Callithrix jacchus: one gene and its partners. The protein of the gene in region 3 purifies or fractionates together with the protein of the main gene of each other region. This does not show direct contact. Links are inferred from orthologs where the notes say so. Each region holds a gene or a part of one and is shown on either strand. Other genes may lie near its edges.

Evidence for each region. Proteins that work in one complex are often made in the same cells at the same time.
Region 1: the proteins of RIPK1 (region 3) and TAB1 purify together in Homo sapiens (affinity purification with mass spectrometry; 3 studies listed by BioGRID and IntAct, with this or other methods). This does not show direct contact. The link is inferred for Callithrix jacchus from reciprocal best matches to the Homo sapiens genes RIPK1 and TAB1.
Region 2: the proteins of RIPK1 (region 3) and TICAM1 purify together in Homo sapiens (affinity purification with western blotting; 4 studies listed by BioGRID). This does not show direct contact. The link is inferred for Callithrix jacchus from reciprocal best matches to the Homo sapiens genes RIPK1 and TICAM1.

What each region holds. Positions count from the first base shown.
Region 1 is NC_133502.1:210,223,156-210,226,637, reverse strand, and holds part of TAB1 (TGF-beta-activated kinase 1 and MAP3K7-binding protein 1), read right to left. Parts: intron 2,740-3,482; coding exon 2,517-2,739; intron 1,111-2,516; coding exon 948-1,110; intron 1-947. UniProt on the Homo sapiens protein: Key adapter protein that plays an essential role in JNK and NF-kappa-B activation and proinflammatory cytokines production in response to stimulation with TLRs and cytokines.
Region 2 is NC_133523.1:4,577,543-4,580,910, forward strand, and holds the end of TICAM1 (TIR domain-containing adapter molecule 1), read right to left. Parts: intron 3,025-3,368; 5' UTR 2,889-3,024; coding exon 795-2,888; 3' UTR 501-794; downstream 1-500.
Region 3 is NC_133505.1:27,534,505-27,537,524, reverse strand, and holds part of RIPK1 (receptor-interacting serine/threonine-protein kinase 1), read left to right. Parts: intron 1-817; coding exon 818-970; intron 971-3,020. UniProt on the Homo sapiens protein: Serine-threonine kinase which is a key regulator of TNF-mediated apoptosis, necroptosis and inflammatory pathways.

The DNA.
Region 1 (3,482 bases), on a different chromosome or scaffold from region 3:
CATCTCTATTATACAATGCAGGGCTGGAATGTGGAAACCAGATCCGGGTCCCCTGGTGTGGGGAGTACACATTCCACGGAAGTGAAGGGGGTGGGGTATACTCCAGACCTGTTAGACAGGTCTGCAGCTAGAGGGGGCCTGTTGGCAACACCTTCAGGCTGCTGCCTCCACCTCGCCCCCTGCCCTCAAAACCAGAGAACTTACTTCAAAGCTAAAATCGGGCACATCAGCCAGAAAGCATGGGATCTGCAAGCCAGTACAGGCCAGACAATGTCCCCAAGCAAGGACACCACAGGAAGCTGCCCCACATCATGCCCAGGTGGAGAATGAAAGAGAACCTTCAAGGCTGGGTGCAGTGGCTCACGTCTATAATCCCAGCACTTTGGGAGGCCAAGGTGGGCAGATCACCTGAGGTCGGGAGTTCGAAACCAGCCTGACCAACATGGAGAAGCCCCATCTCTACTAAAAATACAAGAAAAATTAGCCAGGCCTGGTGGCGCATGCCTGTAATCCCAACTACTCAGGAGACTGAGGCGGGAGAATTGCTTGAACCCGGGAAGCAGAGGTTGCGGTGAGCCAAGATCTTGCCATTATACTCTGGCCTGGGCAACAAAAGTGAAACCGTCTCAAAAAAAAAAAAAAAAAAAAAAAGAGAGAGAACCTTTCACTGAATGAAACCAGCAGATGGGGCTCACAAGAAAATCTAAGAAGTAGGCTGGCACCATCAGCTACCTGACCCGAAACCCCAGCTGGCCCAGCAAAAGCTGCCTCTTCCTTCTGCCTCAGTTCCTAGGGAGACCTACCTCACCAGGCACGGAGCTGGGAAATTTGAGACCTCAGGGCATCTCATCCACAAGACTTGGCCCCATGGTCATTTCTGTACCAGTGCCACAGGACACACATGGGGGTGACAGGACTGGGGGTGGCTAAATTGGGGAGGGACTTACTTGGTGAGGGTGGGGGTGGCTTCATCCAGGGTGGAAGCGCTGTGAGCCCCGTTGACCATCTGGCCCTGGGAGGGCATGACAAGGGAGAGGGTCACGCTGGTCTTGCTGGTGCTCTGGGCACTGGAGTATGGCACAGACACAGGGTACACTCGTCCCCCTGCAGCTTTGGGAGGAAGAGAGTGGGGGCCTCAGGCAGCGGCTGAGGAGGAACCCAGGGTAGTGGGGGTAGAGCTGCTCCATGGCCTGATGGGGTGGTGCCTGAGGGCTGAGTGTGGGCAGCAGCCACACCTGGCTCCCCAAGCCCAGCAAGGCACCCTGCCCCTTGGGACAGCTTAGGAGGAGTTTCCTTTGGCAGAAACTCTTCCAGGCCAGGCTGGGAACTCATAGCAGTAAAGCCTGCTTGTGCTTGAGGTGCCTCAAGGAAAGGGTTACTGTCTAACTTTCCAAGGCTGCTTTAATCCAGAGGATAAGTTCGCTCCCAGTTGAGCCTGACCCAATAAAAATATGGTTGCAATAACAACAGGCCAAAGGAACTCTAATAACCCTGGTGTCCATGGGAGAACAAATCTGTCTGTGGATGCCTAAGCTTTACCTAAGGTTTGCTTGTTTAAAACAAAGAAAAAACAAAGCAGCCCTCAGGAACTGAAGGTCTTAGCACTGAGCAGCTCTCGGGGAGCCCAGCAGAGAGCAGCCACCTCTTTTTCTCAGAACTTGGTTGAAGAATTACAAAGGCAGGGGCCAGCCACAGTGGCTCATGCCTGTAATCCCAGCATTTTGGGAGGCCGAGGCAGGCAGATCATGAGGTCAGGAGTTTGAGACCAGCCTGGCCAACATGGTGAAACCCCGTTCTTACTAAAAATACAAAAATTAGCTGGGCATGGTGGTGTGCACCTGTAATCCCAGCTACTTGGGAGGCTGAGGCAAGAGAATCACTTGAACCAGGGAGGCAGAGGTTGCAGTAAGCTGCAATCGTGCCATTGCACACCAGCCTGGGCAACAAGAGCAAGACTCTATCTCAGAAAAAAAAAAAAAAAAGAATTACAAAAGCAAAAAGCAAAATGTCCTTCTTCCTGCCCTGCTCCAGTGCAGCCCTGGGACAGACAGGCTTTGGGGCCTGACCATCTGTCCACATGCCTAATCTCTTTGAGGTCCCGTCATTCTTAGCCTCAGTTTCTCCCTCTGGAAAACAGGGGTACCACCTGTTTTTAGGGTTGCCAATGAGGACTGAAGGAAATAATGCAGGTCGTGCTCCTGGCACACCGGAGGCGCTCAACCAGTGGTGGCCATCATCTCTACTATGCGGCTTCACAGCTCTGTGAATTGCTGGCTGGTGCACTCAGGTTCTGGGAGGTTGCCAGGACAGGTGGTATTATCCTCATTTTACAGACAAAAAAGCAAAAATCAACACACAGCACAGAGAGGCTGAAAGTCAAGAGAACCTGGGTTAGAGCCACTCAGAGCCAGGCCTCCTAACTCCATCTCCGTTTTAATCAGCCTTGGCTGTTCTGCACCCACCTCTGGTCCCCAGATGGCATCCCCAGGCACTGCCTGTCTGCACAGCACACGTACCTGGGGCTGAGCTCGTTGTGGGCTGGCTCATTTCGCCCAGTGGGTAGCCAAAGTTCCTCACCAGCAGGGTCATGTCCTCGTGCCGGGGGCAGAACCTGGCACGTTCCCCACCACTGGCAAAGGTGTCGCTGTGGATGCGCTTCACCCGGTCCACCACCGCCTGGGCTACTGCGTCGAGCGAGGTCTGCTTGGCGAACTCAGTGTCAATCATTGCGGCAATCTCCTGGGGCGGGGGCAGGGGGAGTAAGAACCTGGTAAGGAACTGGGGGCGGCCGGGGGGACATGGGCCATAATCTCAGAGCCCCAAATCAGGAGATTTAGTGGTCAATAGCCCAACAGGTGAAGGAAGTGCCTGCCAGCCAAGCTTGCAATCTGAGCCTTTCAAGGTATTCAGGATAATCCTTCTGGAACTTTCTCATTAGGAAGTGTGTGCCCTTGTGATCTCTATAACTGCTGGGTGCACACCTCCAGGAGTGGGGAGAACATCCGCCCCACTAGGTGATTGTGAGGATTAACTAACAATGGTGTGAGAGTGCTCTGGCGGCCACTAAAAAGCCCAGTACAAAGTGTCATTTTTATGAAACACTTTCCTGGAACAAACTTGTTGTAGGTGATGTTATTATCCGTGCTAGGATTTTGTCAGGGGATACAAAATGAAAACGGGGTCCCTGACATCAGAGAAGTCCCTGTCCAGTATACAGACGTTCCTCAATTTAGGATGGGGCTATGTCCTGGGAAACCCAATGTAAGCTGAAAATATTGTAAGCTGAAAAAGCATTGAATGTACCCAACCTACTGACATCATCACTTAGCCTAGCCTATCGTAAATGTGCTCCTAACACTTCCATTAGCCTACAGCTGGGCACAGTCATCTAGCACAAAGTCTATTTTATTCATATATAAGAAAATATCGAATCTCATGTGATTTTTTTTATTTTTTTGAGACAGAGTCTCACTCTGTTGCCC
Region 2 (3,368 bases), on a different chromosome or scaffold from region 3:
AGCGGCATTCATTCAGTGACATTCATTCCAATTCATTCATTCCTTCATTCATAGCTCACTGCAGCCTTCACTTCCTGGGCTCAAGCAATCCTTGACCTGGGCCTCCTGCGTAGCTGGGACTACAAGTGTGCACCATCTAGGCCGGCTAATTGTTGTATATTTGTACAGCCGGGGTCTCACCATGTTGCCAAGGCTGCACCGTCCCCCGACCCCCAACAATAACTTCTCCTTCCACTTTTCAGGGTATTAGAACCGAGACTCGGCAAGGCACATGGCTGCTCAGAAAGGACTACATTTCCCAGCGTCCCTTGCGGCAGGAGTAGGCCCATGTGATTATGTTCTGGCCAGTGGGATGAGGGCAGATGTGGACAACTTCCGGCTTATGCCCTCCAAGAGGCGTGCACTTCCTGCTTCCGGTTCTCTTTTGTAGGCGCGGGAGCCACGTGTTTTGTAACAAATAGCCGGGCAGAGGGTGTCCCAGAAGACAATGGCGCTGCAGAAACGTTCAATAAATATTTATTATAATTAAAAGACGGTAGCAATACCTCCACCACCAAGAACCCTCACCCAGAAATAGATCGGAATTGTAAACACCATGTCCAGTTCTGGCCACCCTAAAGGCCAGAGCGTCTGTTTTGTCCTAAATGAAGGGCTCCCGGCAATGTCCTGAAAGTGGCAGATAACTTCATCTTCCACTGTCCCCAGAGGACAGGACAGATCGGGGTGGTCTATGAGGTCCTGCCCAAAGCTGATGCCTGGGTCCAGGTGTGTTCCCCAGCTGGTCAGCACAGCAGTCATTCTGCCTCCTGTGTACTGTCCTCGGGTGCCTGGGACCCTCTCTGGTTCCACATGTGGTTGTTCAGCCCCAGCTGTACCATCTGCGCATGGTGGATAATGAGGGGTTGCAGTCCCGGGCTCTGAGGGGGCGCAGGTGAGGCTGTAGGGAAGCCTGAGGGTTGTGGGAAGGGCGGTAGGGGAGTACCAACCTGCCACCCGTGCAGGGGTGGAGGCTGCGGGTACCCCAGCCCAGTGGGAAAGGGTGGCGGGGCTCCCAGAGGCACTTGGCCACCAAAGGGCATTTGAGCCCCAAAGGGTGCCCCAGTCCCAAATGACATGTGGCTCCCAAAAGCCGCCTGGAGCTGCTCCATCTGTGCCTGCCAGGACAGATAGCTCCGGAGGTAGGCCGAATATGCAGCGTTCATGGCGGCCACCTGCACCCGCTCACTGTCCAGGTGTTGGCTCTGTTCCCGCAGGGCTCGGGTGTCCTGTTCCTTCCTCCACATGGCCTTTCGGGCCTGAAGCCTGTAGGACGTGAAGGTGTTGGCCACCTTCTTGTCAAAGATCCGAGAGTGTTCGTCCAGCCGCACCAACCCAGAGAGCAGGCTGGCTGTGTCGGAGCTGAGCTCGGCCAGGGAGCTCTCCAGGGGCAGGAAGGGGATGACACAGTCTGACGGCCCCTGTCGCATGAGGTTGCTCACCAGGGCTTGGTTCACCTGGTGCAGGCTCAGGTGGCAGTCGAAGTTGGAGGTGAGAAGGAGGATGATGAAGGCAGAGTGGTCAATTGCATCCTGCAGGCAGCGGAGCTCCCCGCGCCCGGGCACCTGGAAGTCCTCACAGAAGGTGGCCCCGTCAGGCACACCGAGGGCCTCCAGCTTCTCCCGGACCCGCAGGGCAATGTGCTCGTCCGCCCTGGCATGGAGGATCACAAAGTTATAGAATTTCTGCTCTGATGATGATTCCAGGGAGGAAGGGAACAGGGAGGAGGGGGCCAGGTGAGCTGAAGAGGGGGCTGATGGAGGAGGAGGAGGAGGATGGGATGTTTTTGGGGTGGTGGGAGATGGGCTTGGCTTGGTATTTGGAGAGGTGGTGTCTTCTACAGAAAGTTGGGGTGATGTCTGTCCTTTGACAGGGCAGGGGTTTTGGGGGGGCTCCAAAATGGGCAAGGGGAGAGACTGGGGGCCTGCAGACCCCTCGGTGCACTCCACCGGGAACTGGGTGCTGGTTTCTGGAGCTTCAGGGGTGTCAAGGAGGCCAGTCGAAGTTGCATCTGGGGCCACTTTGCAAAATCCAGGGGGTGGGCTGCTTGGCAGCTCTGGGGGGCTGGCAATCTCCCCCGAGGGCGGCCAGCTCATCTCCTCAGGCTCCTGGCAGCCACCAGGGACAGGCTCGGGCACCTTGCTGGCCTGAGGGTCATCACAGAGCTTGCTGGGCCCCTGGGGGCTGCGGTGCAAGCTGAGGAGGGGCATCGTGGGCGACTGGCTGATTTCCAAGTTGCTGGTCAGGGAGGCGGGGCTGCCAGTTGACCTCAGGGAACGCCCTTGGCTCCAGCCTGAAACCCCATCGATGGGGCGAGGGAGGCTCCGGGTCCCAGAGGGCGAAGCTGAGGACTGTGGGAGGCAGCCCAGATTGGACTGGAGTGTCTGGATGCTCCCTGGATCCCCAGCCACGTCCCACCCACACCGGTCCCGGGCCTCATCCTGGAGCTCCCCCAGCCGGTGGTCGTCCCTGGCGCTGAGAGTCCGGAGGGCTTCCCGGTAGGCCTCATCCCGCTGCGAAGCCGGGCACAGCTTCTCCTCAGCCAGCAGGTGGTACAAGCGGGCCACAGTCCAGGATACGTCCGGGGGCTCCTCTGGGTCCTCAGTGCTGTCCACACCAGCCCACTGGCGGGCTACTAGCTGAGCCGCGGCATCAGCCTTCAGTGCCTCTAGAGAGATCCTGGCCTCGGTCTCCTGGCCCAGCTTCAGCAGCACCATGGCGTGCAGGAGGTCCCGCCCCTGGCAGCCTGGGCGCAGAGTCTTCAGTTTGTGCTTCAGATACAAGAGCTTTTCCTCGCCCGCTGTGCCCAGGATGTCGAAGGCGCTGGGAAGTGACGGGCCCTTGCAGGCCATGGGCACAGGTGGGTTCGGCCTCGGGCGGCAGAAGCTGGGGGTGGTGAAGGCATGTTCCACACTGCCCGCCTTCTGCACGCCCGGCTCCCTCTACTCATTCACTGTTCCAGATTCTGCCGGAGCTCCCCAAGCAGATCTGTAGGAAACAGGACAGGCAAACACAGTTACCCCCAAGAGAGGTCAGCACGGGAAGGTGGCCCACAGGCCCCTGTCTGCTTTCCCCGCCTGCCACCAAGACCTAGCAAGGTGACCTTTGGGAACACGCCACCTCCAACTTCCACGTCCTCCTCTGCAAAATGCCATGAGGCCAGTGTGGTGGCTCACGCCTGTGATCTCAGAACTTTGGGAGGCTGAGGTGGGAGGATCACTTAAGCCCAGGACTGTGAGACCAGCCTGGTCAACATAGCCAGACTCTATCCCTACTAAAAATTTAAAAATTAGCAGGCCGGGTGCAGTGGCTCAAGCCTGTAATCCCAGCAC
Region 3 (3,020 bases):
CTGTCTCCCAGGCTGGAGTGCAGTGGCACGATCTCAGCTCATTGCAACCTCCGCCTCCTGGGTTCAAGTGATTCTCCTGACTCAGCCTCCCAAGTAGCTGGGATTACAGGCTCCCGCCACCATGCCCGACGAATTTTTTTTAGAGACAGCGTTTCACCATGTTGGCCAGGCTGGTCTCAAACTCCTGACCTCAAGTGATCCACCTGCCTTGGCCTCCCAAAGTTCTGGGATTACAGGCGTGAGCTACCGCACCTGGCCAATGATACTCTTTATAGCAGGGCCTGCACCATTTTACATCCCCACCAGCAGTGTGTGAGGGCTCCATTCTTCCACGTCTTTGTCTATGTGTGTTAATTCTTTTTTTTTTTTTTTTTTTTTTTTGAGACGGAATTTCACTCTTGTTACCCAGGCTGGAGTGCAATGGCGCAATCTCGGCTCACCGCAACCTCCGCCTCCCGGGTTCAGGCAGTTCTCCTGCCTCAGCCTCCTGAGTAGCTGGGATTACAGGCACGCGCCACCATGCTGACCAGGATGGTCTCGATCTCTTGACCTCGTGATCCACCCACCTTGGCCTCCCAAAGTGCTGGGATTACAGGCTTGAGCCACCGTGCCCGGCCCTTTTTTTTTTTTTTTTTTGAATTGTAGACATCCTAATGGGTACGAGGTGGTTTAGTCACATTTTAAAGAAGAAAGTTTAAAGGATGGCATAGGATAGTTAACCCAATGTTTGGAGTAAAGCCAGGCTTTTTTGCAGTGCTATATTTTTTCTCTTGCTTTTGATCTAGAAGTACTTACCTGTGTGTTTCTCTCTATTCAGAGGAATCTATAAAATGTACCATACACAACAGTAGCGGTGTTCAGATTGGAGCCTACAATTATATGGAGGTTGGTGGGATGAGTTCATCACTATCAGACAGCATAAATATGAACTTTAAAGAAGAGCCAGCTTCTAAGTACCAAGATATCTTTGGTAAGATACCCTTGAAGGACCCAATGTCTATCAACCTTGAACTTTCTTGTGAGAAGGATGTAGTGGAATCTTGAAATTTCTCTGATAATTCTTCCTGAAAGTTTTCTCATGTTACTTCTGCAAAATAACTTTGTGATTTCTGTGTAATTTCTTTGTGATTTATTTATTTTTAATATGGAGATAATAACAGTATTTAATTCATGGCTTTGTTGTGAAAATTAAATGAGTTGATATGTATGAAAGCTTAGAACGCTCCCTGACACATAGTAGGGTCTATAAAAAGTGTTAAACTTTCATCATTATCATCAGTATTACTGCTCAGACCTGGAAGAAATAGCTGTGTCAGGCCCTCATCAAAGGAGATCCTGTAAAAGAGAGAAGACTGTGCCCTCCACAGCACTTCTGCAATAAAATCAAGAGGGCTGTCTCTTACAGGGTCCTACTGTGCAGGACCATAATGCTAATCTCGAGGTACAGTCTGGAAAAAGCAGTCATGAGGCCAAAACAACTTGATTAAGAACTCAGCTTTCTAATTAACAACAGGATTGTCTTTTTGTTCCTGTAAAGGAACCGATAGTAAATGTTAGGCATTGCTGGCTTTGAGGTCTCTCTTGGAACTACTCAACTCTGTTACCGTAGTACAAAAGCAACCATAGACAATACGTACATGAATGAACATTGCTGTGTCCCAATAAAACTTTATTTACAAATGGTGGCAAGGAGCCAGATTTGGCCCACAGGCTATAGTTGGCCAACCCCTGGTCTAACACATTTGAAGAACAGCTTTTAAAATACCTAGAACAGAGGTTCTTAACTTTTGATTAGCCAAGGACACCCTTGAGATTGTAATGAAACCTAGGATCTGTCCCATAAAGAAATACTGACAAAATTTGCCAAATATTTTGGGAAGTTTTTGGACTGCTGACAATCTAGCGGTGGCAACACAGGCCACATTATGGAGGGCTGAGGAAAGAAAGGAGGTTGAAAGGAAGAATGAGATGTTTTCTCCCTTACATTCTGTTTATTGAGGTAGAGTGGGGATTAGGGAATATGTTTGTTGTGGTTGTTTTACATTTTTATTTGTTTCCTTTTATTATTTTTATGAAGGGCTAAGAGAAGAACTAGTAGGAGAGAGGTTATGGCTATCGGAGAAGAGGCAATGGCAGTCGGGGGGTGGGGGGCAGGGAGAAGGGTTCAAAAACAGACCTTTCATCGTGTGAAAGACAAGGAAGGCATTGTAACTGAATGGGTTCACACCTGCTGGACAGTTTCCTTGATTAAGAGGAAAGTGAACTGTTGGGCAGGGGTGATGGTCAGGAGGTAAGTGGCTTTAACTCTGGCCAGATGTAAGTGAAAAATGTCCAAAAGGAACAAAAATGGTGGGTTTTTCCTTTACATCCAGGAAAGTCTAACACAAACAGGGTCACCGGCTAAGATTGAATAGAACACCCAGCCTTGTAGCCACATAGGGGTTTTGTTCACAGAGCCATCAGCTGTGGCTCAGAGATGTGTCTGCTAGGAGGAAGGAATGCCTTATTCTTTTGTTTTGCTTTTGAGACAGCATCCTGCTCTGTGGCCCAGGCTGGAGTACAGTGACACAGTCATGGCTCACTGCAGCCTTGAACACCTGGGCTCAAGTGATCCTCCTGTCTCAGCCTCCTAACTGAGACTACAGGCATGTGCCACCATGCCCAGTTAATTTTTTTTTTTTGTAGAGACAGGGTCTTGCTATGTTGCCAAAGCTGGTCTAGAACTCCTGGGTTCAAGTGATCCTCCTTCCTTAGCCTCCCAAAGTGTTGGGATTATAGACATGACCCACTACGCCAGGACAGGAATGCCCTATTCTAAGTCACACAAAGACTCCATGTGGGCTAGCAGGGATATAAAATGTCCACCAAGGTGTCAACAGCTATATAATTAAGACGTTATCTTTTTCACTGTCTCCTGCTACTCTTCACCTCACTTGGGGTTTTTTTTAGCAATTCAGGAAGCTGGAATGTTTGAATGGGTTTTATTTAGCTTGATACCTTCTTCTCTTTCCCATTTGGCA